Drosophila melanogaster: one gene and its partner. The protein of the gene in region 2 interacts with the protein of the main gene of each other region in a pairwise test. Each region holds a gene or a part of one and is shown on either strand. Other genes may lie near its edges. The genes, in order: trbl and CG12708.

The links.
Region 1: the proteins of CG12708 (region 2) and trbl interact in a two-hybrid assay, tested with the Drosophila melanogaster proteins (2 studies listed by BioGRID).

The regions. Positions count from the first base shown.
Region 1 is NT_037436.4:20,389,752-20,406,963, forward strand, and holds trbl (tribbles), read right to left. Parts: upstream 11,859-17,212; 5' UTR 11,505-11,858; coding exon 10,675-11,504; intron 7,725-10,674; coding exon 7,100-7,724; 3' UTR 6,537-7,099; downstream 1-6,536. Other genes in the region: fbl (fumble), read left to right, coding at 165-457, 517-642, 707-883, 939-1,074, 1,135-1,431; CG33969 (uncharacterized protein), read right to left, coding at 2,294-2,738, 2,890-3,474, 3,528-3,730. UniProt on the Drosophila melanogaster protein: Adapter protein that negatively regulates different signaling pathways to coordinate cell differentiation, proliferation, migration and growth.
Region 2 is NC_004354.4:15,669,258-15,683,457, reverse strand, and holds CG12708 (uncharacterized protein), read right to left. Parts: upstream 7,983-14,200; 5' UTR 7,771-7,982; exon of another isoform or gene 7,655-7,770; intron 7,095-7,654; 5' UTR 7,052-7,094; coding exon 5,834-7,051; 3' UTR 5,721-5,833; downstream 1-5,720. Other genes in the region: CG15646 (uncharacterized protein), read left to right, coding at 14,164-14,200.

The DNA of each region.
Region 1 (17,212 bases), on a different chromosome or scaffold from region 2:
ATAGGTTCAGAAGTCTAATTTGCATATTTACGTAGCTCATTTCTCACTCTTCCGCCTGGAATACGATTGAAAGTTTTTTTAAAGATGAAAAGAATCTTATTATTCTTAGAATAGGTAATATTTATTCGCCCTAAGCGGTTTTTGTAATCCCTATCGTTTTTCAGATGGACAATGTCGAGATACGCAAAAGACGCGGCTCCTTGCATTTCATTCGCTTCCAGACCACGGACATGGGCAACTTCCTATCGCTTGCCAAGCAGAAGGGCATGGCCGAGCTGGTGACCACGGTTTGTGCCACCGGCGGTGGCGCATTCAAGTTCGAGCAGGATTTCCGCGACCAAGTCAACATGAAGCTGGCTAAATTCGACGAGCTGGACACGCTCATCAAAGGCATTCTCTTCGCCGATCTGCATAATCGCACGGAGTGCTACTACTACGAAAACGCACGTGACATTCTGTAAGTGGACCAAGCGCTGGCGTCAAGGAGTCTGTAGATCCTAACCATACAATTTGTAGAAAAAGCGAAAAGCAGCAGTTCAATTTCTCTCAACCGTTTCCGTTTATTCTGGTGAACGTCGGATCCGGAGTCTCCATCCTGGCGGTCTACGGTCCCGACAACTACAAGCGGATTTCGGGCACGAGGTAAGACTGCTCTTCATGAAATTACACATTATTGCAACGATGCTAAATGAAATGTATTGTTCAGCTTGGGCGGCGGTACATTCCTCGGCCTGTGTTGTCTACTCACCGGCTGCACATCCTTCGAAGAGGCCATCCAACTGGCCACCAAGGGTGACAATAGGAAGGTGGACAAGTTAGTTAAGGACATTTATGGTGGCGATTACAACCGCTTTGGTCTCCCCGGCGATTTGGTGGCGTCAAGGTAGCAAAGCCAGAAATGAAGGGCCATGTACCAGTTACGAATTTTCCATTTCTAGCTTTGGCCAGATGCATCTCAACGACAAACGGGTTTCCGTATCACGCGAAGATCTGGCCAACGCCACTCTGGTCACCATAACGAATAATATCGGCTCCATAGCAAGGATGTGCGCGCTGAATGAGAAGATCGATAGGGTAAGTATCAATTTTCGTTACATACATATCCTCGTAGACTGAGCAACAAACCCATTTCAGGTCGTCTTTGTGGGCAACTTTCTGCGAGTTAACCCCATTTCCATGAAGCTGCTGGCGTACGCAATGGAGTTCTGGTCCAATGGCACAATGAAGGGTCTTTTCCTGGAGCACGAGGGATACTTTGGGGCTCTGGGTTGCCTGCTGCAGTTCAACGGCGAGCTGGCAGCCGCCCTTAACGACGGAGTGGAGCATTCAATCCACACTGAATCCGATTCAGCAAGCGAAGCAGCACAGACATCTTCTACGGCGGACGAGCCACCAGAAAAGGCGCCCACAAGCAAACACTCCACTAGATAGTCGCTATAACCACATGTTCCTCCCAAGGGCACCCAACGTGCGCCAGCCGATTGAAGTGCATGTACAGTAGACCTAAGATCAATAAGGCAATGACAATGGCAATGGCAATGACTTTGGTCCTTCGCAGTTCATCTCGGTATTTATCGTAATTCTTTCTCGGCTTTAGTTGTAACTTGATGACGCACAAATTGTAAATGCATGAAATTACGTATGTATGGATAAAGTGCCTGCTAGAAAGCAACGAATTTTGGCCCGATCAAATGGCGAACCACAATTTATGTCTTAATTTTTCGCCGCGTAACATTTTACCATATGTTACTACCACGCTATCTTCGACAGATTCGGTAGTTTTTAGTTTCGATTCTAAAGTGATAGATGTTAGCTCTCAGAAAAGTATTACAAATACTTGACAATAGAAACGCAATTAAAAGTCTAGCGCGCAACAAAATGACGAAAGAGCAGGTATAGCATCCACCTAATGATTCTTTTAAGTTATTATCTTAACGTTTTTATACATGCTTTAAGTGGATGTTTTAAAGTTTTCTTTTTAGGATCCAATTCGTGGACAGGTCAATAAAACTTGTTCTACACAAACTGATGGTATGATGATACAGTTTAAAAACAAGACGGTAATAGCCTTCTCTCTACCTTTGCCTACTTATACAATTATTGTTAAGGTTTGTGTTATTCTAAAAAAATTCCGTAATAAACTAGACACGAGTTGTTCTGATAAGAACAAATAGTACGCTTTACGGGAAATCAGCAGACATCTTGAATGTATATTTGTACGGCGCATTTGGTTTCTTCAAAACAATGAATGTATAAGATTTGGCACATTTTTAATATGGGTTATCCAATGTGATTAAGTTTCACTTCGTTTGTATACAATATTGCTGTAGTCTCTCCGAATTCCACAGCTTGCCTTAAAGTCAAAGACACGCATATTGTGATCGGTGGCCACGAACATATATTGGCTATCACAGGCGAGGCTGTACACTGGCGACAAGCCATTATGACTTCGCGTCCTTCCCGGAAAGTACAATTGTACGTATTTCTTCATTCTTATATCGTAAAGGTTGACCCGTGCATGTCTGTTGGTGCCAACCAGCACCGCGTGCAGACCATCATACTCCAAGGAGTAGAAGGAGGAGTCGAACGGATCATCCCAAATGGCTACATCGCGATCCACGCGTCTGTCAAACATACGAAACGTGCTATCGAAGTTGGCCGTGAAAATGACCTGGTCATCTTTCAATTTCAGGTCGTAAATTGACATTGTTTTGGAACTAAACACCAATTCCTCGCCACTGATAAAGAAAAAAATTAAAGATAGTTAATAACAGAAATAATGATAGTAAAATGTAAATCAAATATTTCTACTTTGATTAATGTTTAAGGATTAACTAAAACATTCCTACACATAAGATTTATATTTAACTAATAGTCGGTAGGGCTTACCTTTCAACATGGACTGCCCTCAAGGCCTGGCGACCGTTGTCAGTGTATAGTCCACCATACAGCCACTGGCCATCCGAACTGAGTTCCAGAGACCTAAAGGCGTGCGGCAGATGCATCACCTGATCAAAATGCGTCATTCCAAACTCCTGCGCACGCTGCCACAGTCTGCAGCAGTGATCTGTGCTGGTTGCGTACAGATCCTTGACAAAGTCTACGCAGTACAAGTATTCGTTGGCCGGATGCATCCTCTGCTCCGTCATCACCATGCTATCGGTGTCGTAGTGGAAGCACGATCCACAAACCCTTCCCGCGAATATGGTTTCATTCTTTTTGACGAAATCGGAGATGTCGGTCTGTGCGGACGTACAGATCTCCTCGTCGAAGCGACGATGCAGTGCATCGCAGCTGGACCGCCGGTACTTGCGCAGATAGCAGGCATGTGTGATGTACAGAAAGTCGGCCTCCAGGCACAGTTTGGTGGGGAACATCTGGGCATGGTGGAAGTATGGTCGTTCGAAATAGGTGCCACTAACCCAGTTCCTTGACAGCTCGATGCGTTCATAGTTTTTCAGGCGTCTTCGGTTTCTAGGAGGTAGATAGATTATCTTAAGTTTATTATCCGAATCTCATTCACCAACCTCTGTTCGATCCTTGGATTATTCCGGTGGCCACAGAGCAGCAAATCGTAGGCCAGTGGGTAGAAGTAGTAGGCTTCAATAATATACTCCAGAGCCGGGTCCGCCCGGCACAGGCACAGTAGGTCCCCCTCCGAGCAATAGTCGAATATGAGGAGCAGGCATTCGATGGTCAGATCCTTCAAGCTCATGCGGGAGCTCATCATATCTTTCAACGCCAATTCGTGAGATTAGCTCATATTCCCACGATTTCCGAACAAAACGCAAACAAATGGTATATCGATTATTTCACTCTAGCGTTACCTTTGCAACACTACGAAATTTCCGTTAAGTTTGACTGCAGTCAATGATTAAATTCAAACGTGTGTTCTTTCATAGTGTTATTATATTAATGATTTGAACATCAACTGTATATTCTTTCGTGCTATTTTTTCAATATATAGATCTCAGACAATTTGATTATTTCGAATAATCGATATGTTTTTCATTTATATTTCCTCAGCTAATAAACAGTGCATTGTTCACTTATGTGTCATTGTTGAAAATTTGACGTAACCAGCACAGAAATTGTGAAATTTAAAGAACAATGAAACACTTGTTAATTTCATCGACCTTTGAAAACATTTTTTTTAAACATTTTTCATGTTGATGACCATATTTTTTAAAAATTTAAACAACAGGCAATTAGTGTATACAGATTTAAATTAACTATTACTACGGAAAAATGTGCTTAAAAGAGCAAGTTAATTATTACCACCCCTTTAGCCAATAAAGCTTTTAAAATGTTACTATCTAAGCTTTGGTCTTTCAATGGTTAACAATATCCACCAGCTGTGTCAAGGCAATATAAGAAAATACAATTCATGAAATATGGTTAATAAATTTTATAAATTTTGCTTGTGTAGAAGGTTAAGCATCAAGGCTAGACTTCGGGGAACCATTGCGATAAATGACATCGTTGGACATTGAGTTTTTATCATTCGATAAGAAATTTAGGGTTGATTTTAGAAAGATTCCCCCATTGATGTAAGCCGCCTGCAATGCCAAACACGAAATAGTCAGCAACTGCACATTTTGGGGACAAAAGTCTAAGATATGTATACGATTTACGCACATAAATATGCGGCGTGCGTACGACCACGTACTCATACAATTGCAGCAATCTAAAGTTATTTAGAACACTGTTTCCGCAATTAGGCACGAAACTGCCGAGATTTTTGCGCTAAATACCTTAACTGAGCATTTGATTGACTTGAAATAGCGCACAAGCTGTCTGATCTGCCTAGAAAGTATCTCGTATCTTTCTCGGCATTTATCTGCCGCCTTTTCTGTAAATACTGCAAAATGGTGCATAAAGTTTTATGACTTCTGGAGTGATTTAGGAAGAAGACCATGAAACGATTTTTCAGGCTAAGAATTTCGCATTATCTGTTGGGTACTTGAAGGAAAACATAGGACTATCTTCTAATGACAGACAGTATAAGCTGCGTGCGAGGGCAAACAAAGAAATTTACGGAAAATCTTGAGAATTGAACCAGAGCCATAACAAAGAATCAAGTAACGACTAATTTTTGGGTCAGGGAAAGTAGCGTAGCTGTCACTGTTCAGGTCTTCTTTATGGTTGTCAAGGTACTTAACTTAAGGTTTTAGAACCTTAAAAAGTGAATTTGTAACAGGGCTAGGCTAGTCCACCTTTGTACTTTCCATTTAACATACTTTTTTTTGGGTAGCGTGACCCCTATTAGAGCTTCGTTATTCCCCAGAAACAAAGTAATTGTGACTTTTGGGTATGTAAGGAATGCGAAAAGTTCTGGATCGTTCATTCCGTTCTATAAGTCCCCTTTAAAATCTTATCAAACTGCACATGACAATGGGCTTTACCCTTTCAAGATCTCGAAGCTTTGAGTACCCATCCTAAAATGTATTCTTAAATTAATAAGTGAAATAAAATCAGGATACTTATTGTAAAAGATATAAATTCCTAAGTTATAAGACCACATATGGACTTCAGACTTCAGACTTTAGTTCAATATGTATCAATAATCGACAATAAATTTATTTGAACAAAAATAAGACAGACAAGAACATATTGTAATACTCTACAAAAGCATCAGATTTGAATACATTTCCAGTGCGGTTACATACAGTTCCCGATGGGTATTTTCCAGTCGGGTCTAAACCGATCAGGCGATTCTAGTTAAAGTTCATGCGTGGCACTGAGCCCAAAAAAATTGATAGTCACAATCTGTAGGTGGCGTAGTCGTCAGCAGTTTTCGCGTTCTGCGCAGTTCTCGTTCTCTCCGGCAATTTCATAATCTGAACAAAGTGCTCGACCACAGGTAAAAATGCTCGAGCACGGCGCACACAGAGCCAAAAATCGGGGGTCTTACGTACACGAGTATATGTAGGTGGTATACATGCGAAAGTCCCCGTCACGTCGGCACATCAGATGACAGTGGTGGGACCTCCGCATTCAGCAGCTATTCACAATATTAGTTTACTGCTATTGTGGAGCAAAGTCGCAAATATTTCCGTAGCCAAAGTCACGTTCGCCCACCTGATAACTTCCAGTCACTGGGTTGCATTATCAGGTTGGGAATCTGCTGCTCGGTAATGGGAATCTCAGCAACAACAATAACTAATTTGTTGACTTTCGACACTCGAGAGAATTCTCGATTTTGTGACGTGAACTATTCATTAATCTCCTTCATGAAGAAAATAGATTGGACAGTTTTGTTTTCATATTTTTGACCAAACATTATCTGATCTTAATCAAATGTTGAATTTTACTAGTACACAATATGACGCATCTAGAACCAAAAAATCGTATTTTCCCCTGACTCATTGTTTTCATCTTTTGTAGCCTTCCGCTTCTTGAGAATCTAGAATCTTCATGTTAAGCTCATAGTCTGGTTGACTAATTACACATTTATAAATATTTACAATCTTGTGTCAATAAATAAAAACAGCGTTTTTTACCCCAGAGCCCTAAAGAAACAAATTCGAATTATTCTTGGTGAGATCAAATTTCAATGTATTATGTTCTTTTTTGCAATTTTCACTTACAAGATTTTAAGAGTACACAAAGCGTAATACAGAAGTATTAAATAATAAATAACAATTTGCATTCGTTGCATTTTTTAACATGGAAACTAATGTGTTTTAAAGCCCAAAAGCAAATCAGGGCGACTGTCCTTTGATAAGATCAACAGTTTGCAAAAAAATTAAAATGTTAAATGTATTGTACATAGGTAGGTTTTAGGAAGAATCGGTTGCAGAGAGGAGGCTGCGGAGCGGCGTGATTCTTGAACGAATCGAATCGGGGCTGCAGCGCGATTGGAAGGCAGTGAGTTCTTGTGTGTCTAAGCTTTAAGTCTTTGTTGGCAGTACCACCTGCAGGAAGACGACGTGGAACGCAGTCGGAGTCGGCGCGACCCGGAAGGCCAGGATGTCCACAGTGTCATATCATCCGATATGCCCAGTCCCGGCGGCTAATCAGTCGGCATTCAGCCGGATGCAGCCAACGCGCCAGCGTGTCCCAGAATGCAACCCGTGGGTGACTCCACGAGCTCCAATCAGCCCATGTCCACATCCGTATCGGGTTCGGGTTCCGTGGACAGCCCATTGGCATTCTGAGCCATTTGGAGCGTGGAGCGCGTGTAGTCCAATGGCTCCACGCCAATGTCCTCGTACTCGTGCTTGTCACCCAAGGGACAGAGTCCTTCCTCGTCATCATCCATCGCATCGGCGGCAGTGCCTTCGTCCTCCTCCGCATCGCTCCAGTCCTCGGCCACCTCCACGTCGACTGGCAGGTACATGTGGAAGGGGCGCTGCTCTCGCAGCCACGGGGTAAGGAAGATGTGGCTGGCGGTCATTCGTTCCGTGTAATCCTTCCGCAGCAGCGAAAGCAACAGCCATCGCACCGACTTAGACAGCGTCAGGGGTATCTGGACATTCCCGTGGCGTATGACGGTGATGAGGTTGCAGTTGGCCTTCTCGTAGAACGGGTACTGACCCACCAACATGGTGTACAGGATCACGCCCAGCGACCACATGTCCGCCGGTTTGCCCTTGTACGTTTGCTGGGGGCACAGCAGTTCTGGAGCGGTGTACAGTGGGCAACCGATCTTGTCGCTCAGAGTATCGTCCTCGCCGTCGAGGATCATTGAGCCTTCCAGTGATTCATACTGCAGTTTCGTTCTGTAATTAGCAAATGACAAAATCGAATAAATAATCCGCCAAAATAGGGTACAAAATATATGTTTATGCTTCTTAGAAATAAAACTAACAGTCTTTTTTTTACCCGTTTCTATTAATATGTTGAGAACTATTGTTGCCAAAGAAGAGTAGATATGACTGCAACTTGAGTTGGCACTGCCACTATTCTGATCGCAACTGTACCCGTTCATCAGACCCATCGTCGAGCTCTACATCATGTGCAATCCCTGGGACTTGCATAACCCCCGATTTTGTGGGGCCATTAGCTAGCGCAATATCGAAGAGACTTGAATCGATCGGCCACGGAGCTTCAGTTTCAGTTGTAGTTGTCTTTGGCGTTGGCGTATTGACAAGTCAAAAGGCAAATTGGCCGAGAGAGCACATTGTGAGCTGAGCTGAGTTGACTTGGATTGGTGACGAAAGCGCAGCTTGCGACCCCCGACACCCATGAGCGAGTGCCGCCGCCGCCGCCGCCTCCGCCCCTGCACTCCACTCCACTCCCCCTCCATTGGGCCACTCCACTCCATTGACATTGGCCCACATTCGAATGCAAAAAGCAAAAAAGTAACGAAAACGCCAGCGAGCACAGCGCATAGATCCAAAGAGAGTCCGCTGTGTGAGCTGCGTGAGTAGTAAGGTGAGGTGGAGTGACGTATCGCAACTTGTTGCTGCAACGGCGCTTCTGCTGGGACCCGAGCACCACTACCAACATTGGGTATTCCGCCGATAGCGAACGGAGCGATATACAAACACACGGTCGCCGCGGTCTGGTATCCAAACATCCAAAGAGCCAAACACAAAGCAGGCCAAAAAAACCTCGAGCTGACCCTGAACAAAAACAAGCTTTGAAAACGCGCCTCTCCTCGGCACAAATCACAGTGTACACTGAAAGAAACAAATTACCTTCAACTTGATAGCAACAGGTGGGCAATCAATAAGAGGGAAAAGAGATAGCGCATTTAAATAATATATTCAAAGAACACGGTTCTTAATTAAGAGCATGTTTCTATACATTTGTTTTCGGGTTTCATTTGATTTTTGTGTCCTCTATCGTCTAGTTACCCCATTCGATACAGAAACATTATAAACTTATATTTAAGATCAAGGCAAGCATATATAATTATACTTTTAAGATCAAGGTTTTATGTGAACCAATATTTATATTTTTGAGTGCACGGAAGGCAGGTGGAGATGTGATGAGGAGAATAGTTACAGCTGCTGACCTCGATGCGCGACATAACCGAGCTTTGAAGAGCGTCTTGTGGATCTCTTCTTTCCCTCTCTCTCTCTCTCTCGCTCTATACGTTTGGCACACATTAACCCGCGACAGAGGTTAAAATAAAATCGGAATCGAAACGAAATACGGAAAACCGGCGCCGCATAAATGCTCAAACACCTTGGAAGTATTTACGTACGGCAAAAGAGTAGACAAAATAAAAGTATGAACCAGAGATTTTTACATGCATAAGCATACGCATTTGTATATGGGAGGCACTGGCATATATGCATGTACATAAATGCGTTCAAATACAGAAGATCAGAGTCAGGGACATTCACCGCACTGTGACCTTAAAAATTCGGCTCGTTATTTGGTTGTGCGTGTGTGTGGCCGCCCCGTTGGACATATGTAGATATGGATATGGCCACGCCCATAGCCCATATAGTATGTATGTACACCCAGCGAGCACTTATCTATATAGCGATGTATTATTCGAATGGAAATGGGAATGGAAGTGAGCGCCAGTAATCGCAGCGCATTTGAGTCGTATTGAACACTTGTTGTTTATTTCTCGCCAAGGTGAGAGAAGTATAGTATAGATAGAGATCTATGGGTTGGTTTCTTCCTTCCGCCGTTTTGCACTTGGCACAGAACGACGAAATGACGAAAAAATCAGCAGATATTGCGCTAATTGCAGAGTCATACGAAATCGACCAAATGTTCAAGTCGTTCCATGCTGATGTCAGTACAATTTCGAAGATAATAAGAACGGGAGACAGCGCGTTTTCGATACAGTTGTGTTAATTAACATATGCGAAAATACATTTTCGATGAAGGTGGGGTCAATATTTCATCATCCACTGTAAACTCACACACGGGAAATCGACAAATCAAGCGAACGCCGAGTACGTGGCCCACAGATCCCCACCCCAAAACCATATTGCAAATGCTATGTTGAACAATTCTTGAAATGTGGCAATTTCTAGCTTCCGAAATGTGTAATGAAAAAACGAGTGAGCCAACATTTTGGCCATCAGTGTGGCACATTGGGCCCTTGTGTACGAGTATGTACACAGAGATACAGTCGGGGTCTGCAAAATAAGGCATATGCTTGCTCACTGAATGGCAATTCAATGATATTACATAAATAATAATTCTTTAGCTACAAAGCTAATACACCATGTTAATTAATAGTTTAATAATAGGTGTATTTCAAAAACTTATCTTTGAAATTATTTAACATTTTTGATCTTATTCCCATTCATTTTTGCAATGCTTCGCATAGTAGGAATATATTTTTACTTATAAAATTAGTTTGAAACTACCATTATACCCTGTGCTGTACATACGTACGCCTTGCGTTCATTCGGTTTGTCAGTATAATTGTTGTTGTTGGCCTATTGGTGATTCGATTGCAACACTTGTTAAATGTTCAATGTTACCCACAACGACGGCGCCAGCAACAAAAACAAAAGCAACAACAGCAGCAGCAGCAGCAACTACAACAACATGGGCCAATAACAAGAGCAACAATTGTGGCACCACCAACACACGACCACAAACAAGATCTCTCGCTCATAACGAGTTTCCATCGAATTGCAAAATAAACCGACTAGCCAGCCATATGCAATTGAGTTGGTATAAGTCAGGCATATGTGGCGTATATTGGTGTATATGGGTTTTTCGAAGGTGTCACCTGGACACGCAACTCACCTGGCCTCGTCGATGAAGTAGAACCGCTTGAGCTTGAGGTCCCTGAGGATAATCCCGTTGCGGTGGCACACCTGAACAGTCTGACAGATCTGGTGGAATATGGCCCTCGCCTCCGTCTCGCACAGTCGCTTCGCGTGGCGGATGTAGGTGTGCAGGTTCTCGTACACCCCGGTCACCCCACCCGTGGAGTCCCTCTCCTGGGGCACGGGCGCAATGAGGATGTAGGTGCGATCCTTGGTAAGCGGTATGATATCGTGCACGGGTCGGATCAGTGGATGGCCATAGATGGTGCTCCGGCGTAGCTCCTCGTCGTGCTGCTGCAGCTGAAAGTAGGCTCGTTGCACCTTATGCAACGGTTCGTTTACAATACGGCAGAGGAACTGCTCCCCGGTGAAGATGTCCACGCAGCGCAGATTGGAGGCGGTTAGATCGACCAAGTGGCGATACGAGGCGGGAGTCTTGGCAGCCACGGCGGCCGATATGTGACTAGGCTGTGCGCTGATCAGATAACGCTGTTGGATGAGCTTGACGGGCTGCTGGTCTGTGGGTTCCGCTGCGATGCCCAGGGCCAGAAGGTCACAGGCTCCGCCGGGCGTCATTAGCTTCTCCCTGATGGTCTGCAGCATCTTGGCATTGGGGAACTCCTTTTTGGGCGTAAATAATCCCAGTACGGTGTCCTCCTGGCTGCTACTCATGCCGCTGCTGCTGGATGATGAGGATGAGGAGGTGGCGGCTGCGACTCCTGGCGAGACTGGTGACGAATAGTTGACTATTTTGCTTGTGGACGCTGACGAAGCCGTTCTGCTGTTTTGACCGCTACTGTTATCCATGCTTGCTTGTGTTTACCACTTCACTTAACTTTATCACAGTTCTTGCTCTCGCTACGTTTTCTTCGTCTTATTCTCTGCTAATGCTTCTTCTTACTAATTTTGTTACTCCGCTTTAGCCTGGCTGTACTTGGCTGTTAATTGTTTTGACATTTAGCGACGCGCCGTTTAGTCTCCGATTAAATTCGATTTAAACTCTCGTTTAAACTCAGGGCTACTACTACTTCGGTAGTTTGGCCATTTGCAATGCGGGTACTGACGAAATGCGGCGATTTTAAAACAAATCGGACGCTGCTCACTGAACTCGCGAAACGAAACGAACGCGACCGTCTTCTCCGCAGTTTGAATTTCAAATGTGACCATCCACGCGGTCGGAAGAAGCACGAAGCGAAGAGAACGGCGAAATACAACGGCTCTCTTTCGCACCCTCTTGCTCGCTCTCACTGCACCGATCCTTCTCTGCCTCGCTCACACCCGTTGCAGGAATTTAGCTCAATGCGGTCGGAATGGAAAGAGAAGTGGGAGACCAGAGAGCGTCGTTATTTTTTGAAATCCAAATGGTTGGGAGAGAGAGAAAGAACAAGAGCATCGTTATTTTTGAAAAAATTGCGCTGAACGCTGAAATTCCGATTCCAACTGAATTCGAAATACGTAGCTGTATGAACACTATACCCACAGCAACCCTTAAACTTTTCTTCTACGATTTTACGTAGTAATCTGCGCACCAATAAATCGTGGCGATAAGTTAATTAGAGGGGGTTAGTAAACTGATAAAATCCACAGTTTTAAGATCAAATTAATGAAAGTACAGTCAGCTTGAACTTCGATTTTGTTTTATTGAGTACGGGTACGGATATCGAAGGCAGAAACACCCGTATAACCATCTCTATAACTCGAAAATATCTTTTGTGGTTTCTTGGCTTGGATACTTAAGGTTTTCTCCTGCTCTGATAAGGTAATATTTTACAAGTTTGGTTGAAATTATTTGTTTTCCCATAGTTACGAAATTTTTAAACCAAATTCAATGATGATGTGCAGTTTTTGAGTAGTTGCTTTGCAAACTACTATTATTATAAAAAAACATAAAACATAAAACATTTTAATATCCTAATATACATACAAATTTAAAATTAAGAAATTTGTCTTCTTAATACTCCAGATTAAGATCTCTTATATCCCTAAGTATATGACCACAGATGGACATTTCAGATGTACAAACATAGTTCTAGTAAATCCTAGAATTTAAATAAATGCTCCCAAACTCGAATCTTCAAATAACGCTTCAATCTCTTGGATCCAAATCGATCATTGAATTTTTTCCTGTGCGAGATCATTACTCATTTGTGTGTGTGTATGTGGATTTACCTTGCTGTTTACCTCGCGGTGCAGACGATTTCATGATTTTTGCAGCTGTCCGAAACGAGGATCACTGGGCTACGCAGGAATTACGACAGCAACAGAAGGCAGTTATCCGAGATCCTCAAGGAGCAGGTAAGAACCACCGAGCGGCATTATGTCGCAGGTAGATTCCTACATACATATGTCAGCTGCACTATTCCACCCCTAAGCACTATATGGCAGATATAGTGCATCGGTGCAGGGCTGTACATGCGATGCAGTTGCAGTTGCAGCTGGCGCAAGGTGATTTCCCACTAAAGACATCCGTCTGAGGATACACAGGAGCACATTCGCGGTCACAATAATAGGAACTATCGCAATCGAATCTTTAGTAATTGGAAATGAGGGTCTTTAAATATAATTTTTAAGACCGAATTGTTGGACTAAAAGACCTGAAAAATGTATTTTTAAAATCGTTGATAGAATTGGTACAATTGTAGGTTAGATATAACTCATTTAGTTTTGAATTTTTTCATTCTGGGATACTGGGATTTTGAATACTAATATTTTCACCGCAACTGTTTATGCAGGCTTGTATTTCGTCCATTGGTTTTCACCGATCTCTTCGATTGAATTCTTCATATTGTAACGCTCTTTTTGAAACGCAACGTCCGTCTTTGCTTCTTCTTCCCACGAAGTAGCCGATAAATACGAATGCGAAAATCGCGAACAGAACAAATAACACCAACAAACCTCTCTTTTCGCCCGTCCCTTTTCCAAAGTCTTGCATCTGTTTCTCGAAAGGAAGATTGAAACGAGAATTATACTGGTACCGTGACACCAATGCAACCGAAAAGGGGGGAAATTATAGGGGTGGCGACATCAAATTGAATTTGAAAAATATTTTATTTGCATACGACATACTTATTTGCAAGCAATTAATGTTTCACTCTGGTCACTGCACTCACTTATACGATTAAATAGGCCTGATCATTTTGATATGAAAAGTGTATGTACGGGAAATATACATATTCTTTAGCAATAATCACGTAAATATACGTGAACACAAACAACCTTTATTCCAGTAAATCGCTTTTGAGTTTCACCATGGTCCGCAATGATGATTAAGTTTTAACTGCAGTTTGCAGTGGGAAGATTATACAAACATATTTCATTGAAATTTGAAATGACGCACTATGATGTTGAACAGTATTGATTATAATCGCCTTGTGAAATAATTTCACATGTAACCGTAACCCATTCCTTTGAACCACTGTGCCCCAAGCCCCACCAAGAGTACGTTACATTTTAAATTTAAATTCGAACATTCGGATGAAGCCGACCTTTCCGACACTCGCGGATTCTTCTGCTCTAAAATTTCAGCGTGCTTTTGCCATTGTGCGAGCTACTTTGTTGTTGCCAAGCTGGCATGAAATCCAGATTTCTCTTCCAAGCAAAAAAAAAAAAAAAAAACAACTCAGTGCGTCATCGGCTGCGTCATCAATTCGGGATGACGACGCCTCGCCATTCCGATTCGCAATTCCCCTTCCTGATTTAGATTATCCATTCCAAGCCCCGTCACATCGACATTTCCCAAAAGCAGGCACACAAACTCGTATATCTTGATTCGCCAGCGGGCGGCAGCTTTAGTTTGTGCATATACCCTGACTTTGGAGTTTCAGATTCGCACGAAATTGTGGAAGGTGAAGTTCTCGAAGTGAGTGAGCGAGTGCTTTGGATGGGAAGTGCATGATGCACGGCCGTGATGTGGCTTTTATAAAAAAAGTAGATTAGGTTGTGGCACGTGGTCTGGGGATTGCACTTGCAGTGGAACTCTGATGAATGTTAATGTCATGCGGTCATTTCAGACCCATAAGACCTATGAAAGTAAGTTGGATTCAATCAAGGTTTCAGGTCAGGGTAAACTAGGCATATATAAATATATATTAAGACATGCCATTGAATCCCTTATATATGCAGATATAGAATGCAGATATTATACTTAAGATAATATTTGTCTATCTGCAAACTACAAGTGTGTGTAAACTTCTCGCGCGGCAAATCGTATCTAGCATCGCAAAAGATACACTCTCACTAGTTCGAGCGTGCAGTATCTGTATGTGGTTATGGGTATGAAACACAACAGGTTGTCGGCGGTGTTTGGAGAAAGTGCTTAGTGCCAACAATACCATCAGGTGCAATGACCACATAGGTATACCTAGTCGGTGGATGGTTGGTTCGAAAAATCGTATAAATTGTCATGGAAACGCGACGCTCTGTGGAAGGCTAAACATGCGAGGGAACTTGATCTGATTAAAGCCCCATAATCAACTAAGGGAGTTTTCCGACGAAAAGATTGGCCATATAACTACTAAGAAATACCTAAAGCTTGTCCAACATTAGACAAGCTGCATACCGTTAATATAAACTATTATAACTTTCTTTTCGTACAAAGAGAAACATAACAATGCAATGGTTAAGTCCGTTGAACTTTAACTATTTAATGTCTTTGGAGCTTAGATAAGGAGATACATAACTTTATATGGTAAAGATATCTTTAATATTACTTGATTTAAACGTCTTGAACTTTGATAAGAAGATACTTACCATTACATATTGTAAATTTCTATTTAACATAACTTCTTGAACTACCCAAATCTAAATGGTTACATAAACTCCAAAATTACTCATGGAAGGATTGGAGTACTCAATCTTTCAGATGCGTCTACTGCTTCCACATTTCTTCCGCTTGAAGGCCGCAAACAAGGGTTCAAGTACAGCAAACACTTTCTTAGTCACACGTACATACATATCTCTTCTCTGCGTAGGTGGTGAAAATTGCTGCCCTTTTTTCCAGTCTCAATTCCTCACAGATGCGTTTCCTAGATGCCAACATGCTGAGGATTACCCATTGTCCGTAATATTTGTATGGAAAGGATACCCCGTCGAAGTGCTATTGATGAACTCTCGCACACATGCTTGGAAATATTATTACTAGTCACGGCGTGGGAACCGAGGCAGAAATGTCCCAAGATCCGTGCAGAATATGGCAATTTCTGGACGTAAAGGTGGGTAATTTGCGACACATTTATAATACGGGTACGGCACCGGCATTTCCCAGGTGAAAATGCGACATCGCAAATAGTGGTCACCCTGCTGTACGGATGTATCCCAGATACATACATACAGAAAAAAATTGGTTTGTCAGCGAAATCAGTTTTTCAAGAAAAACTGAGCCCTTTATTCCCAACTCGGACACAAACGACAGTGAGGTACAGCCTGCCGAGGACCATTAACCCTGTCAACCCCTAAAATGACAATTGTTTGAGCTATCAAAAGGATATTTTTCAATAAAATATTATCCAAAATAGTTTCCCCTTTCTTCCGAGATGGATTGTTATGCATATGTGCTTTTCCAGGCCATCCGTGAACGTATTCTTAAAGGGGTACAACAATTTCACAGTTTTTCCACACAAAAGCAATGCCGACCGACCCACATTTATGAATGGAAAGTATCCTTAATCTTATCATCATGGGGTGGGTTGGACTTCGACCGAAATTTTGTCAAGTTTCCTCATTTTTCACGATAGATTCAAACGAACTTTGGCCCTTTTCTTCAATTTTGTAATTGCGCCGTTTATTTGCCCATTGTATTTTCGCGCGACCCTGTTTCACCTGGGAAGATCCCGATCCTTTGTTCTTTTGTGACACCAAACTAGCTGGAAAACCTCTTTTTTTTATATTGTCATCATTGTTACACTTTTCTTTGTAAATAAAAACTTGACAATTTTCTGGAAAATATATGCGCAATAAACAATGGTTTGATCAAGCAATCAAAATCTGATAAGATTTGTTTATTTATTTATTATTTACTTAGCGCTTTAATTAAATTTGCCCAAAAGTTGGCTATAATTGCGTGACGTTCGGATTTGAAGCTATCTTTTCAGATTTGCGTTTTTGTCGTTGCAAGACCGCGGCAGTTAATCCAAGAAACAAGTTCTCTTATGAACATTTCAATCTTTCGGTCGACTGACTCAGCATCCCTCAACGAAGTTCTACGCTTTTACGCACTATATAAAACAGCCTGCAGTCGAAAAGGACCTCTCAATAGTCCTGTGCACCACCTGCTTCCTGTGGAATGATGCTGGGATTCCGAGATATTCTTGCAGCTGAACATATGCGCCTACGCTTCTTGGTTTTATAATTTTAAGGGCTGTTCGAATTTTCAGGATGTCTTCGCGGGTCCTAAAAAACGATATAAACTGTACACATGACGAGAAACATAAGGGTAATCTCTTTGCGTGGAAATGTTTCAAAGAACTAAGCAGAAATGGAAATCAGGCAATAAAATCATATCATTTATCCCTAAGCCT
Region 2 (14,200 bases):
TTGATGACTCGATACCCGATCCCAATGAACCTCGAACAATTTATTGCTCAATTTATATTTGCTTAGACTGCCAATAGTTCAATAATTCATAAAAAAAAAGAAACACACGAAAAACGCAAGAAGCTATCGTGTGTCCTGGGAATTTGCATAAACGTGATTTGCATAAGGCAGCTGCCTCCTGGGAGTAGGCATCACCATCTCCAACTCCAACTCCATCACGATCCAGCCTCCTTGGCAGGGGAGAAATCAAAGGGCAAAAGGTGTGAGCTCATGTAATGGCACCGAATTTGACTCTACCTGGACTTTCCTCCATCCTTCAATGGGTCCTTTCATTTCCATTTCCACTTCCACTTCCACTTCCATTTCCATTTTCATAACCATTACCATTACCATTTCGCTCTGTTGTTGTTTGCCATCCGTTGTTTTGATATGTAAGTTGATATATGATATTTGATTTCTTGGATAGACTTCTGGGTGTCGCCGGCGTCTCAACTTCAATTACGGCAAATGGCAAGCACGTAGCTAGTTAGGCGTAGTCATGGACATCTTATCCGTATTTTCATTTCATTTCTTTTTTTTTTTGCCAGGTTGAGGTTTCAGGAAAATGCTCTATGCGAAGAAACGGCAATTGGAAGGAGAATTCAGGCATTTAAAAATTAAGATATGCTCTATAAGAAATAGCACATTCAACCTTATAATATGATATATAATAAACTTGCTTCTATATATAATACTATATATAAAATTCAGTTAAGCATTAGATACAATATGGTCTCATTTCGATTTAAGAAATTACGATCACAGGGTTGGAATATGCTATCTTTTATGGTTCTATTGTTTTATATTTTTTTAGTAACACCTATTTTTTTGTTGTGAATTTTAGCACGGCCACAGCTGCCGTCGAGTCTGGAATTCTATGCAAAATAGTCCTGAGCGGCGACTTTTAGTCGCGCCTGTCAAGTCAGTCCATTTGGCCACATGGCAGGGTGCAGTGCATCGCGGATCGCTGTAGCGGAACGCACGCCACTGCCACTACCTACATACACTACCTGTACAGGACGCACCCCCTAAGCCCGACGCAAGTCGCACGCACACACACAGAGAAGTCTAAAAAAAAATACGAAAAACTAAAAAAAGGAAACAAACAGACGACCTTTGGTGAAGTGCGTTTGTAAATTTGTTTGCCAAATCAAAAGGAAACAGGATGCAAGGAAGTGCTAAGAAGGAAGGATCCCATCACTTGGCATTTGTCACCCTGCCGAAATCACCCTTTTGCCCCATTCGATTTTCCTTTTTGCATTTCCTTTCATTAGTGCAACGCGGAAAATTGCAAATGATTCAATTTTAATCCGATGCCCGCCGCTTTTCGTCTCATTTAAATTTTTGGGCACTTCAAGTGATTCGTATATCCCACGAATCGGGTCTTCAAAAGGGTTTTTGGATAGGGGGATTCAAGGATGATTTTGTCACATCCCGGTAGACTGCTGTCAAGTGAGCCGCACTTAATGAAGTAAGCAAAGCAAAAGGATACCGATCGGAAAAGATTGCAACAAAAGATCGCCGAATGGAGATCGTCTGAAGTTTCGCACAATTGTTACAATAATATTTTCAATGACATGACAGTCCCATAGATTTGCATTAATGATATTCGCCCCGTTGCGTCCCGTTGATGATGATGTGCAACATTTGTTCGTCCTGCCCTCTTTCTTCATTCCAGAAAACAGAAAAGGGTTGCTCCCCTTGGGTGCCTTTATTTTAATTTTGTTTTTTTTATAGAAGTGTTGGGTTCGTCGAAGAACTCGGAATATTGGCAATTATGGCAGTCGACCAGGATGGATGGATGATGCATGGCGATATTATGCAGAGCATATGCAAAGCAGGGGGAGTCTAATCCAGATCTAGGAATCTGGCAAGGAGTCCCTAAGATTGATTATGTCTACTAGGCCAGGCTGAATACTTATGGAATTGTCCGCAATCCTTTCGGTTTCGGATTGAGTTTAGATCGGCGGCCCAAGAAATTGATTGATTATTTTCGTGGCACTCGGGGATTATATTGAAATCATGCCGCCGCTTTGATGCATCTTCTTTTGACATTTTCGAATGTAAAAGATGCTAATTTTTGGCCATTCAATGTTCCTTCCCATGCCATTTTTTATTATTAATCATTATTAAAAATTGTATTGAAGCATTATGTTGAATATTGCATTTATGGTTAATACGTTTCTGTGTCAGTTCTTTTAGCTTTATTATATTAATAATATGTTAAAAATATTTTAAATAATAATAATAATCATTTCTAAAGGTTAGTGAAATGCTGATATATTTTTAATAATATTTCAAACTTTATTCTACAAAAAATTTACATCTATTTTACATTCATAGAGTTTCCCTCACATATTGCTGTCCCAGTTTGCACCGTTTCCATGGACTTTCCCATCGATTGGTCTGGATTTTCAGCTGTGACCGCAGGCGCAGGACCTTGGACCCGATCCTTGGGTCCTGGCCTCCACTCGTGACCTTTACACCTGCCATTGGCCGACTGAGTTGGCTTGATGATGTGCGGTTTGGCAGCCCAAATAACATGTTATGTGCGGCCTAATTGGACCGAAACAACAAAACAAAAAATACCGATCGAGGATGAGTCGAAAAGTCAGAAGAGCCACGGAATTCAAGGACTTGCTGCAGGCAGCGCAGGCAGCGAAGGACATTGCCCTGGCCAACAGGTGAAGTTTGGTGTTTCGAGGGATATGGCTTGTTAGAACCTCGCTAGAAGTCCTTCAAAGACAAAAAAAAAAGAAACACAAAGGCGCTAACTTCGTGATGTTGCACCACTCCACCTACATACCGCATTCGTATACACTTTGAGAAAATGTCTGCCACTTCACTTTTCATTGCGTATATTTAAATTTTTCATTGTTGGTATGTTAATAATCTTAAATATTTGCCTTGCAGATTACATTTCTCGGACTTCTGGGTGAGCTAGTAATATTATGAAAATATATTTATATATGATAGATATTTGTATTCCGTAGGAGCAGCACTCCAATTTTGGCAACATTTCTCCCAATTCTAGTGGAAGGGACAGCCCGCAGGACTCGACAGCACAACTGTTAGGCGCTGAATGTCCTTCGGTCTTGTGGGTCTCCTGTTTTTGCACATGTTGACACATTCGCGAAGTGACGTTGACTTCCTGACTGGCAGGACATGCAGGACATGCAGGAACCAGGAAAAAGGGAAAACCGCCCTCAGGTTCGCTTGGTCCTGCGGGGTTTCCCGGTCCTTGGCTGGCTGTTTTTGCAACTGTTCAGCCGCCGATCGATCAGATCGCCAGGCGATAATGGAGCAGGCACGTGTCCCGCCTGCCCAGCGGATCTCAAGCGGGCAATGGGATTCGGCAGAATGGCAACAAAGTGCGGGTCGAAAGGTGCGTTGGGCATTGTCAATCGGTTCGGTAGTCTGTCCATGTCCGATCCCTCACTATGTATGTACATACATACCATACATATGTAGGTTTTGTACAATATAAAACCCCCGATCAGAAAACAGCGATACGACTTTTGTCACTATGTCGAAAATTAAGCGGGTGTTTCCATTTTCGCCACTCGAGAAACGTTTAAATCGCAATTAGAGTTTTGGAGTGTGCCCGCTTTTAATGGGTGATTTTTCACAATTTTCTCAATTTTCACAAAATGGGTTTCGAATTGAGTGCAGATCGATGGATTTCATTGTTCTCGACCAAAGTGTGTCCACAACATGGAATTGGGAACCACATTTCAATTCAATTTGACACGTTTCATATATCAATTAGGTGTCTTGGTATCATAAAGATTCAGTCAAAGAAAAATATAGTTGAAATTAAAAATTTGTTAGCAAACTTTAAGAAACTACAATTATAATAAAACTATATTCTTAAAGTAGGTTATAATCGCATTTAAACGCACACATTTTGTTAGCTATAAAACCTTAAGGAAACGCACTTAATTATTTGTACATTTTCAGATTTTCCCTATCGTTATGGATCTCTGCTTCGACTAACGCTCCACTCATTACTCGTCAACCATCCGAAACCGGAAGATATGTATAAAATGATATGATATGTGGTGGCAAGAATCCCAGCTAGGTACTTACTAGGGGTAAGTATCCGTTTCACTTTCAATCAAAACGAAATTAAAGAAATGCATGTTTAATGAGACGTTGCCGTCCGGAGCGGGAAAACTGGGCGCTGACGAATGAAAACATGGAACAATTCGGAAGCGGTCATTAGCCGGACGGACAAGAACCAGATAACAACAACAACAACCATAATAATAATAATAATAATAATAATAATAATAATGGGCAGGAGACCAGAGCAGCGCATTGTGGAAAACTAAAGAAAAGCGAGAGTCATAAAAAATAAAGTAACTACAACGGCGTGAACCTTCTTCTTCTTCTAACGATTCCTTTTGGGAAATTTTGGGAAAAGTTCAGAGCGCGGACGAGGGTTTGACAAGGGACCTGCCCTGATTTCGGCGGGTTATCCATATGTACATTTGCATGTATATCACGAATATTCCCTGGAGCGGGCTGCTTGACCGCTCGACCTTAGTTCGGCGATCGAAACTTGAGTTCTGGAGTTCGCCGGGTATCACATAATAAAGTATTTTACTTTGTTTTCCCTGTCACATGGCACAATGTACTCTGCACTGATGGTCAACCCATCATCTGCATAAGAAAGTTTCACGCTCTACTGAGCATTTGCCATGGGAAGTGGATGTGAATGTGGATTGGTGGTTCCTTGGCAGACGTGTTAACGCTTTTGGCTTAACCCACTCCTTTCGTCTCAAGGGTTGGACAAAATGTTATGACAGCTCATTTAACGCCGCGTCGCAGAAGTGGATTGCTGACCCATCGATCGCATGGCCTTGGATGGTTGGTGCCTGGCCGGGCTCCTTGGCATCCATCTGACCAGTTGGCTAATGGGCTAATGAGGCTCGCACGGCGGGATGCGATCCTTGGGGAGCGGGAGCTGTGGGAATGGCCTAGGTTCCATCTCAGCTGGAAGCCTAGTTATACAAACCGTTCGCTAACGAGTTATATTTCGTTTTTGGGCTACAAATTTTGTATCTTAATTATGTAAGGATTATCTACGAAACTGGGTTTGCTTCATAACTCATCACTATGATTTTATGATACCTTCAGAGAATAGTTTCCGCTGAAAGCAGTGGTAAATCGCAGTTTCCCGGGTGAAAGTTAGGCAACTTCCTTTTCCAAAGGTCGCTTTGAGCTAATAACACTCGAATGGAGTTCCGAGCAAGTGATACCTGTTCCATTTCCAGGTACTAGACCTTATCGCGTTAGATCGCACATAACTTGGCTGGCTGCCTGCCCATCGAATTCGTGGGCATTTGAAGCGTAAATAATATTTTTTTTCTTGCGACAATTGTCGCACAACCCCTTCCTTTTAGGGCCCTCATTACCGCCAAGTTCTATGTTCCATGTTGCCGAGGAATCCCCTATAGCTCGCTATCGGAGCATTAAAACGCTCATTAACCAGCTCGCTGTGAGAAAGAAGACCACTTGGGCAGACGGATGAGAAGACCCAGACCCTCTGCTCTGGAGGAATTGCTTTCCACGCACCGCTGAGCTTCAAGAGGTGTTTAGCATAAACTGCTGGTGGTTCCTTGTGGTTTCAACCGAATTATGACAGTGTGCCCCTCAGTGAATTTGGTTCTTTTCGTACATTCTGCATTCCAAATGATTTATTCTGGCCAAAAAATTAAAAAAAAAAAAAACGTTCTTAGGGCTATGAAAAAAATGTCTTATGCCTATGGTATAGGAATATCCTTGAGGATTAGCTTTCTTCCACCAGGGAGAAGCTGAGGCGTCTCTTCGTGGCGTCTCTGGCCTGCACTTGCAACCACATGGCATCCAGCTGACAGGCATCCTCCAGCTCCTCGCCACCCAACTCCAGTCCGCGACTCAGCTGGCAGTGCTCCTCCTCCAGCTCGCAGTCGCTGGTGGAATTGTGCCCACTGTCCGGACTGATGTGGCGCATCTTCTGGGCGGGAGCTGCTATGGATCCGGACCTGGCCGCTGCAAGCAGCTTCTGCGCCGACTGCCTGACGCTGGAGGAGATCTTTGTGGTGATCTTTCGCTTGCGCCGCACCACCCGCTGCCTGCGCAGCTGCAGGGAATGCCGCTTGGCATCCTGCGATTCGGATACGGTGGGCACGGGGGAGCGCACCTCCCGCTCCTCGAAGCCCTCCGCTGGCAGGGAATCCCTCCGCGAGGGCGACTTCCAGTACTCGCACAGATCGCTGGCCGGATCGAAGGCGGGGCGGTAGGTGGGCGATGGCGTCTGGGTGGGGCCGTGCCCGTGTCCGTGGCTGCTCCGGAGCACCTGCTGCCTGAGCCTGTGCCGCTGGCGGAGATGCTGCCTGGGCTGGCGGTGCTGATGCTGGTGCTGTTGCTGTCTGGCGTTGGGCAGCACCTTGCGGTTGCTCTCGAGGATGGCATCGATCATGCGCTCCAGGGTCACATCGCCCATCTGGCTGGAACTGAGCGTATTCTGTTCGCCGGTCGGAGGTGCTGGATGCGGATGCGGATGTGGTAGTGGCTTCTGCTCCAGGTAACGCGGCTTCTCGAAGTAGCTGTCCGGGATGCCCATGCCGCGCAGGGCGATCAGGGAGCCAGGAATGATGGCGGCATTGGGCGAGTACTCCGCCTCGAAGGTGGGCAGTGTGCAGGCGAACTTCAGGGGAACAGCAGTTACACCTCCAGTTGCCCCATTAGCGCCACTTGCTCCTCCCGATGGCGGCGTGGCCAGGATGTTGCTGAGGTCCTTGAGCAGTGGTGTGCGCGCATGGAGGCTCAAGGAGCTGGCCGGCAGTGGCGTGGAGGTCAGCTGGTTCTCCTTGCCTGGCGCCACTCCGATCGACTTCCTCTTGAGTTTGCCACGCAGGGCGTGGAACTCGCTGTAGCTGGAGCCGACTGCCTCGCTGCTGGTGGCCATCACCTCATCCCTGGCCAAGTACGAGGGTCGTGGCTGGTTGACGGCCCACTTGAGCATCTTCTTTGTCTGAAGTTTTAGTTTTTCGGTTTTGTAGTGGGTGCTGCAAGGAAAGAGCAAAGGAATCTGGTTAGGAAGGGGGCGGGTATTTCTGGTTCTGGCATTCCAGAACTTGACTTTCTTAAGGAGCAAATAAATAAAGAGGGCAGCGGCAAAGTTGTCGGGCGAGTTTTCGGCAATTTTGGCGCGCTTTTTCCGCGATAAATGTGCATGTAGACAAACATACATATATACATGCATATGTACATATGTATATGGATGTGTATCGATTTGGCGAAATCAGCGAAGCGGCAAAAATGAAATCAAAAACGAAATCAACCACTCCTCTCACGGACAATTAAATGGACGACGGGCAGCCTTTGGTCTGGACCTTAATAATTTAATTGACTCTGAACTTGATATGCTCAATTATTCTTATGAAATCTTAATGAACTTTTAGGTTGCATTCAAATTTGGCTCTTGAGTGGATACCAAAAAACCAAAAATCACAAGTTATCCGAAAAATTGAATTTTTGTGCATTTATAATTGCATTGATCCAGTTATGTTGGGAATTATTTGAAAAGATATTCATAACCATTAATGAATGAATTCATGAATCTTACAGGCACTTAAGTAATTTATTTTAGGTATATCCATTTATTTTTATGAGCCTTTAGATCTCATTGTACATGACTGCATTTTTAGTTTCAGTCATCTTTAGATGTTCACTTGAATTTACCTTTTTCAGTAGTTTATTTTTTTCGGCACTGATATTTATTTCCAACAGCAAAAAAATAAAATAAATGGTTCGCGGATTTATTTTAAGAATTGATTATTTGGTAGTTTGTATATGTAGTGCTTTTTTTTTGCCAAGTGTTGCGTTTCAACCGTCGCGTTTTTCTGGCAAAGATCGACTGCGTGCGTTCCCTTCGCCGGTTGTTGGTTGACTGACTGGCTAGCCGCCTTAACCGGGAGAAAGCAGAAGGCGACGAACGGACATGTTGCTCATGCGCAGAGGGAAGAGAGCGAGAGCGGAGAGATCAGGCAGTTGAACGGCAGGCACGTTCAACCGGCGGCATTGAAAGCGGGTGGTGGGAGACCACTCGTTGTTATAGTAATTAAAGGTATTTCGCATCTGATATCAGTCCACTTGACTTTAATAACTTATGCAAGATACTTTGCAACATTGATAATAATATAAATTATTTAAATAAGTTGTAATATTCGTATTTCTCACTTTTCCCATGATAACAACTATAACTAAAAGCATACCCTTTCAATACCTTTTATCGAATCTGGTATATATATATATATATATATACAATTACCTCTTCTCGTAGACTCGTACTTCCCAAAACTATCTAATATATTTCTATTTATTAGATAATGCGATACAAATTGAAAAGCAGAAGGCTGCGCTTTGATCTACATTAACGTTATCTTGATGTTCAGTTTTTATAACCGTTTACCGATCGATTTACGATCTGGCAACAGCTGTGCGAATTTTCCACGATCGTGAGATTTTTTATTTGGCCACCGAGAAGGATCATGATCAGTTGGCCAAGGATTCCTACGTGCAACAAGAAAGGGACGGCGCTTGTGAAGCGTGTGAGTGGGACGGAGCATAGTTGGACAGCTGTTCTCATCGCCGCTTGCGCCACAAAACATAATTTTCAATTACCTTTCTCGCAGCGTGTGGCTCCTTTCACCTTGGACTCCTCAAGATACCCTGTGTTTTTTTTGGGATCCTGAGAGTATGCTAGACCTGTGATTGTGTGGGTTACAGGAAGTTAGAACAAAACATTGGGTCTTAAAGGATTTTTAGTTTTTCATTTGATATTGAAAAGACTTTCTGTTGTTGTTTAAACAAGTTCATCGGAATAATGATTACAATTATTTAGTTTAATTGATGAAACTGTTTTGCATCATTTGCCAACTTTTTCTAACATAAATATATAAAAGGTTTAAATAATAGGTATCTTATAGTCGTTAGACCCTAGCAAGGCAATTCTTTCCGATTTTTCCTTCCTTCTCTCACGATTTTCGCCAAGAAAAGGACAACACAAACAGGAACTTTGGGCATTGTACAAATTTGGCCCATTGTTTATGGGACATCGCTGTCCTGTGGAAATTGTTGTGGAAAATTGTGCAATTGTTTTGCAATTTATTGGTTAAAGGGCTCCCGGTCCGTCCTGCTCCTACCTTCCCTCACTTTCCCTCCTGCTTTCTCTGCTGATCTCAAATTTATGATATTTTCGCAGCCGCCGATTGTCCGTTTGAGAAAAATAGAATTAAATCTCAACCGTACATCTGCCCAATTCTTCAGTTTTGGAATCTTTACTATTTGCTTTCGCCATATTATTGCTTGCTAAATTTATTTGACAGTTTTTGTGCAAAAACTAAACACAACTTTTTGTTCGCTGAGGAAGTGCCAGGACCTGCTTTAGCATTTCATATGACACTGCAGTTCCGGACCACCAAGTGCTATAGGATACAATTTATTGCAACTGGTGGTGGCACAATTAAATATGCTCAAGTGTTGTGAGTTCATCGAGTTCAAACAATGAGATCGTAAATATATCAGTCCCAAAGGGAATTTCCAAAAATACAAGACATCTTCATAGGTTAAATACCATCATAAGATGACAGAACGTTTTCTTTTTTAATACAGTATTTAATATCCACCTATTTTAAGGAAAAATCATTGCTGCATATATATATATTAGACATATTGAACCAATTTGAGTTCTTTACGACTTTTTCCCACAAACGTTTATTCAAATAAATCTCAAACCTTCGTTTCGCTAAATTGACATTCGGAAGGGGGGCACTACCTTCCCAGACCAAATTGAACTGGCCCTAATTTTCCATACCATTCATATGGATAAAACGTGAATATTCTGGACATGGATCAGCAGCTGAGTGACCAACGATAAATCTCGGGAAAAAAACGAAGCAAATTGAAATAAATCAATAATATTGGGCGGAGATCAAGGAAGATGGCCAGCAGCAGCTGCGTGCCCGAAGATCTGTGATCTTTCCAATAATAATCCGTGCCAGTCCTTCCCGAATCAATGGCAATTTAACGCATTGGTCACTGGCCAAAAAGGCCCAAGGATAATGCCGAAGGGATCGATGAGCGACAGCCAGAGCAGGCTACGAAGAAAAATAAGGAGAGGGTGACAAGGAAGATAAATTAGGGCAGGAGGAGCCCCTTTCCGCTTCTTCATTCCCATCATCCAGTTCCTCCTCCAGCCCAGCCGCTAATAAATTGCCCAACAATTGTGCAATTTTTCATAAGTCTAAGACTTCACGCTCCGATTTGCTACCGTTTTCCAATCGCTTTTCCCAATCAATGGCATTTTCTTACACACGTCGAAAAAATCTAGCTCTGGGTTTTTTCGAATTTGAACAACAATTTCATAAATAAAAGTTTTAGTACTATAGGTATTTTAAAAAGAAGACAAACTTTGGCTGCTAATGGAATCTTTCTGTATAATACATAATATTTGATTTGAAAATGGTTAAAAATCAGTCTTGAATGATATAGTAAATATTCAAACAATTCTTCAATGCCTGTTACTAGAATAATCCAGTTAACTGAAGTTTCCGCATAATCTTAATAAAATATGTGCCCATAAATCTAAACTAATGTATATCCTTTTCCTCTCTGTGCAGGATCCCATTCCGCTGGCCATCGTTGGAGAAACGTGCGGCGGCAAGGACATCTAGATAAAGTGAAAAGTGGGTAGGGAAAAGGTAATCTTGAATCACAAGCCGCACACTGATAGCGCCAGGACAGAGCGGCCGAGTTTTGAGGAAATCCGAGGAATCACACATAGGGACCCACAATGCACAATCCTTGGGCCGGACAGCTGTTCGCTCGGGGATTAGCACGGCTAGGCGAGCTCCTCTGCTCCCTCACCTTCTGCTTCTGCTTTCTCTCATTACTTTCGCCGGCGGGGCGCGCAAAATTATTAAAACCTGGCCCTGAATTATGGGCCATAATTTAGAATTTGTATTTGCTCAGAGCTTCCCTCTGGCTCCTTCGTCCTTCGTCCTTCTTCCTTCGATTTCCACTGCTTTCCCTTTTCTTCCGCTTTCCCACTCGATATGCCTGGCGGGCAATGGCAGGGGGTGGGGTTTGGTATTGGTGTGTCTGTGTGTGTTCACAGGACCCAGATCCTTTGATTGATTTGGGATCGCCGTGAAAAGCTGGCATCCATTGACAGGCAGGCACTTCAAGGACCAGAGGCTCTCGGATCGGCTTATTTGCCCAGGATCATGCGAAATGCCATGGAAAAGGATCTGCAGATCAATAGGTGATGCGAAACACAGGGAATAATTGGATCTGGCTAGGGAAGACTATATGGCGTATTGTTTAGACTGATTCTATTGTCAGTGCCTTGAATTTGGTATTTCGCAGCCTTAAATATTAAACATATTCGATTAATTCATAAATGATCAAAGTCGAAAGCATCAAGGATAAGTAATTTTGCATAAGGAAACTGCTTTTAAAGTTCTCATTAAAATATAGTATATATTTTCAGACTTACCGAATCCGCAGGATATAATTCTAAAAGTCACTCCTGACATCTTGCCAAACACTTCCCAAAATCAAATCTCAATCAATTTCGGAACATGTATATCAATCGCACAAATGATGATGGCCCAATGGAAGGTCCCTTGTGGGCCATTAATATTATATATGCCGATCGTTAGCCGGAGCATTTGTCAAGCATTATACGATGGAAATCCAAACTTGACAAATGCCAAGTGAAATGCCATGTGAGATGAATTGGAATGCAAAGCATTCGATTTCAATATCAACCCGATCGCTCCCGCTCCGGGGGGTGGGACGAGTTCAAATTGCCGGGCTAGTGGTGGTGCTACACTAGGTTTTCAAGTTCAGTCCAAGGGAATGTCCTTTCCGAGTCCCGAAATTCCTCAGCAGTCAACAGGGGAGAGAAATCGGGAGAGCGAACGAACGGCAATCTCACCTTCAATATTGAAAGGTGCTGTTGAAAAGGTGGTGGTTCCATTAGTACACTGTCAAAAAAGACTGTAGTTCAATACTTTTAAATGAACTAAAAATATGTAATAATCAACTATGATATATATTTAGGATATATTTCATTTGTATACAAAATTCCTAAATGTTATCTTTATGTGTGCATAAAACAAATTCGTAAATAGTTATCAAAATCTGTTTCAAATAGTTGGGTATCTTCTCATTCAAAAATCTGTAATACATTTAAAATATTTTGTATAGCTGGTCCCAAAGTACAACATATTTGTTTTCAGTGTGCCTCGTGAGACCGGGTTTCAAGCTCTGCGAGGTGAGCACGCAACGTTTGCGTGCGAGGGTAGAATTAGTCACTTTTCGTCTGTTGCAGCGACAGGACGTGTATTTCTCTGCGATCGCGAGCAGGAAATAAATTTCAAAATTTACAATTTTGATTTCCCAACACCCGTCTCGTTACGCCTATTTTCATTTTTTTTTTAAACGTGCAAAGAAAAAATACCACAAAATTTTATATTATTTTTCATTGTGAAACGAAGCAATTTCTGAACTTTGGATACCCCAAAAAAAAAAAAACGAAGAACGCGAAAAATTCCAAAAAAATATATACAAATAAAAAGGTAAAGATAAGTGAAGTGCATGAAATGGAAAACGAAAAGCCAGTGTGCATATTTTCGGGCTAAATGTGCATTAAAAATGCATTAAAGCAGAAGTGTCTGGGGCAGCGGGGTTTAATTAAAAACACCCCATTAAAATCGCCTAAAAACGTATAAATTGTGCGCGTGCGATTTTGGGTTATGTTTTGCTGGGTTTTAGCTCCTGCGTTTTGGTTTTGAGCTTGGGCAATGGGATATGGGCAATGGGCTATGGGTTAATGGGTTTTCGAACTCGGGCCACTTGGCCCAAGTGCTCGAGTGCTCTTCAGACCAAAACGAGAGCGGCGGCTGCAAAATGCGCAAAAATGCTAGCACGCACGTACATATCCCGGAATCGAGTAGATGAGCGAAATCGCTCACTCCTGCGGATCCCCCCTTATCGCCATCACTCCTCGAGTGGCCGGAGATCGACACCACTGGAGGATGGGGCAGAGGAATGGGAGTAGGACGAGGCAACAGAGTGTGCCGGCAGCACCACCATTTTGCCCAAGTTCACACGGCAAAAAATATATATGTTCTCCCAGCCACACTTTTTTTATCACTTGAATCTTCAGTCTCAAAATCATGCAGCTCAACAAATTTACTATTCAAAATGAATAATAATTATATTAGTAACTTTCTTGGCGAACTTAGTTCCCAAAATTTCTATTGATTTGCAAATTTAATGAAATGGTATATTGGACCGCTAATTTCTAATTTGACTATCAAGGGCTTTGCTTAAATATTTTATTTTTATAGTAAAGAATGTTGTAAACATTTTTCATTTCTATTGAAATTTGAATAGCTTATTGCTTTTATAATTTAATCGGGTACTAAATCTGGAACCAATTTTAATATCTTCTTTATTGTAACAAAGCCATTTAGATGCCAAATAATTCCCCAGATTCTGAAATTATTTGAACAATAGTTCAATCAGTTAAAAAATAATATAAATAAAATGTATAGATATTCCGATTTTTGCGCATAAATCCCCAAATTCCTGCCTGATTTTGGGTGATAATTTCTCCCTGTGCCGGCACACCACCCGAGCACACGATACGCGAGGCAGAACCTTGGGCTAAATCGCAGCTGGAGGGCAGTGCGTTGGTATGGCGAACAGGAGCGAACCGGAGGCCCAGAAAATCGCGAAGCTTTAGCGCGCTTTTCCTTTGTTCCCGGGCTCTTTGTGCCGGCTCAATTGTTCGCAAGGATATGCGGAACCAGAAACTCCTTGCGGAAATCGGGAAGCTGGCGTTCAGCTGTGCGAATCCTTGGCGAAATCCCAAGCAGGCCCCTGTGCAAACTCGTTTCGCTACAAGTTAGTCGGGTTTTTGCTCTGTTTTTGCTTTTTTTTTTTGCAATTCCATTCTGCTTGAGAAGCTTTGCAAATAGACAATCGCTAACTAGCCCTATCCTTTTTGCCACTTTTCCAGATATCTTGGCACCGCAGGAGCGACAGACAGCAGCTGCCAGGATGCTCAAGTGGGCTGTCAACCAGCCGCGAAACTCGT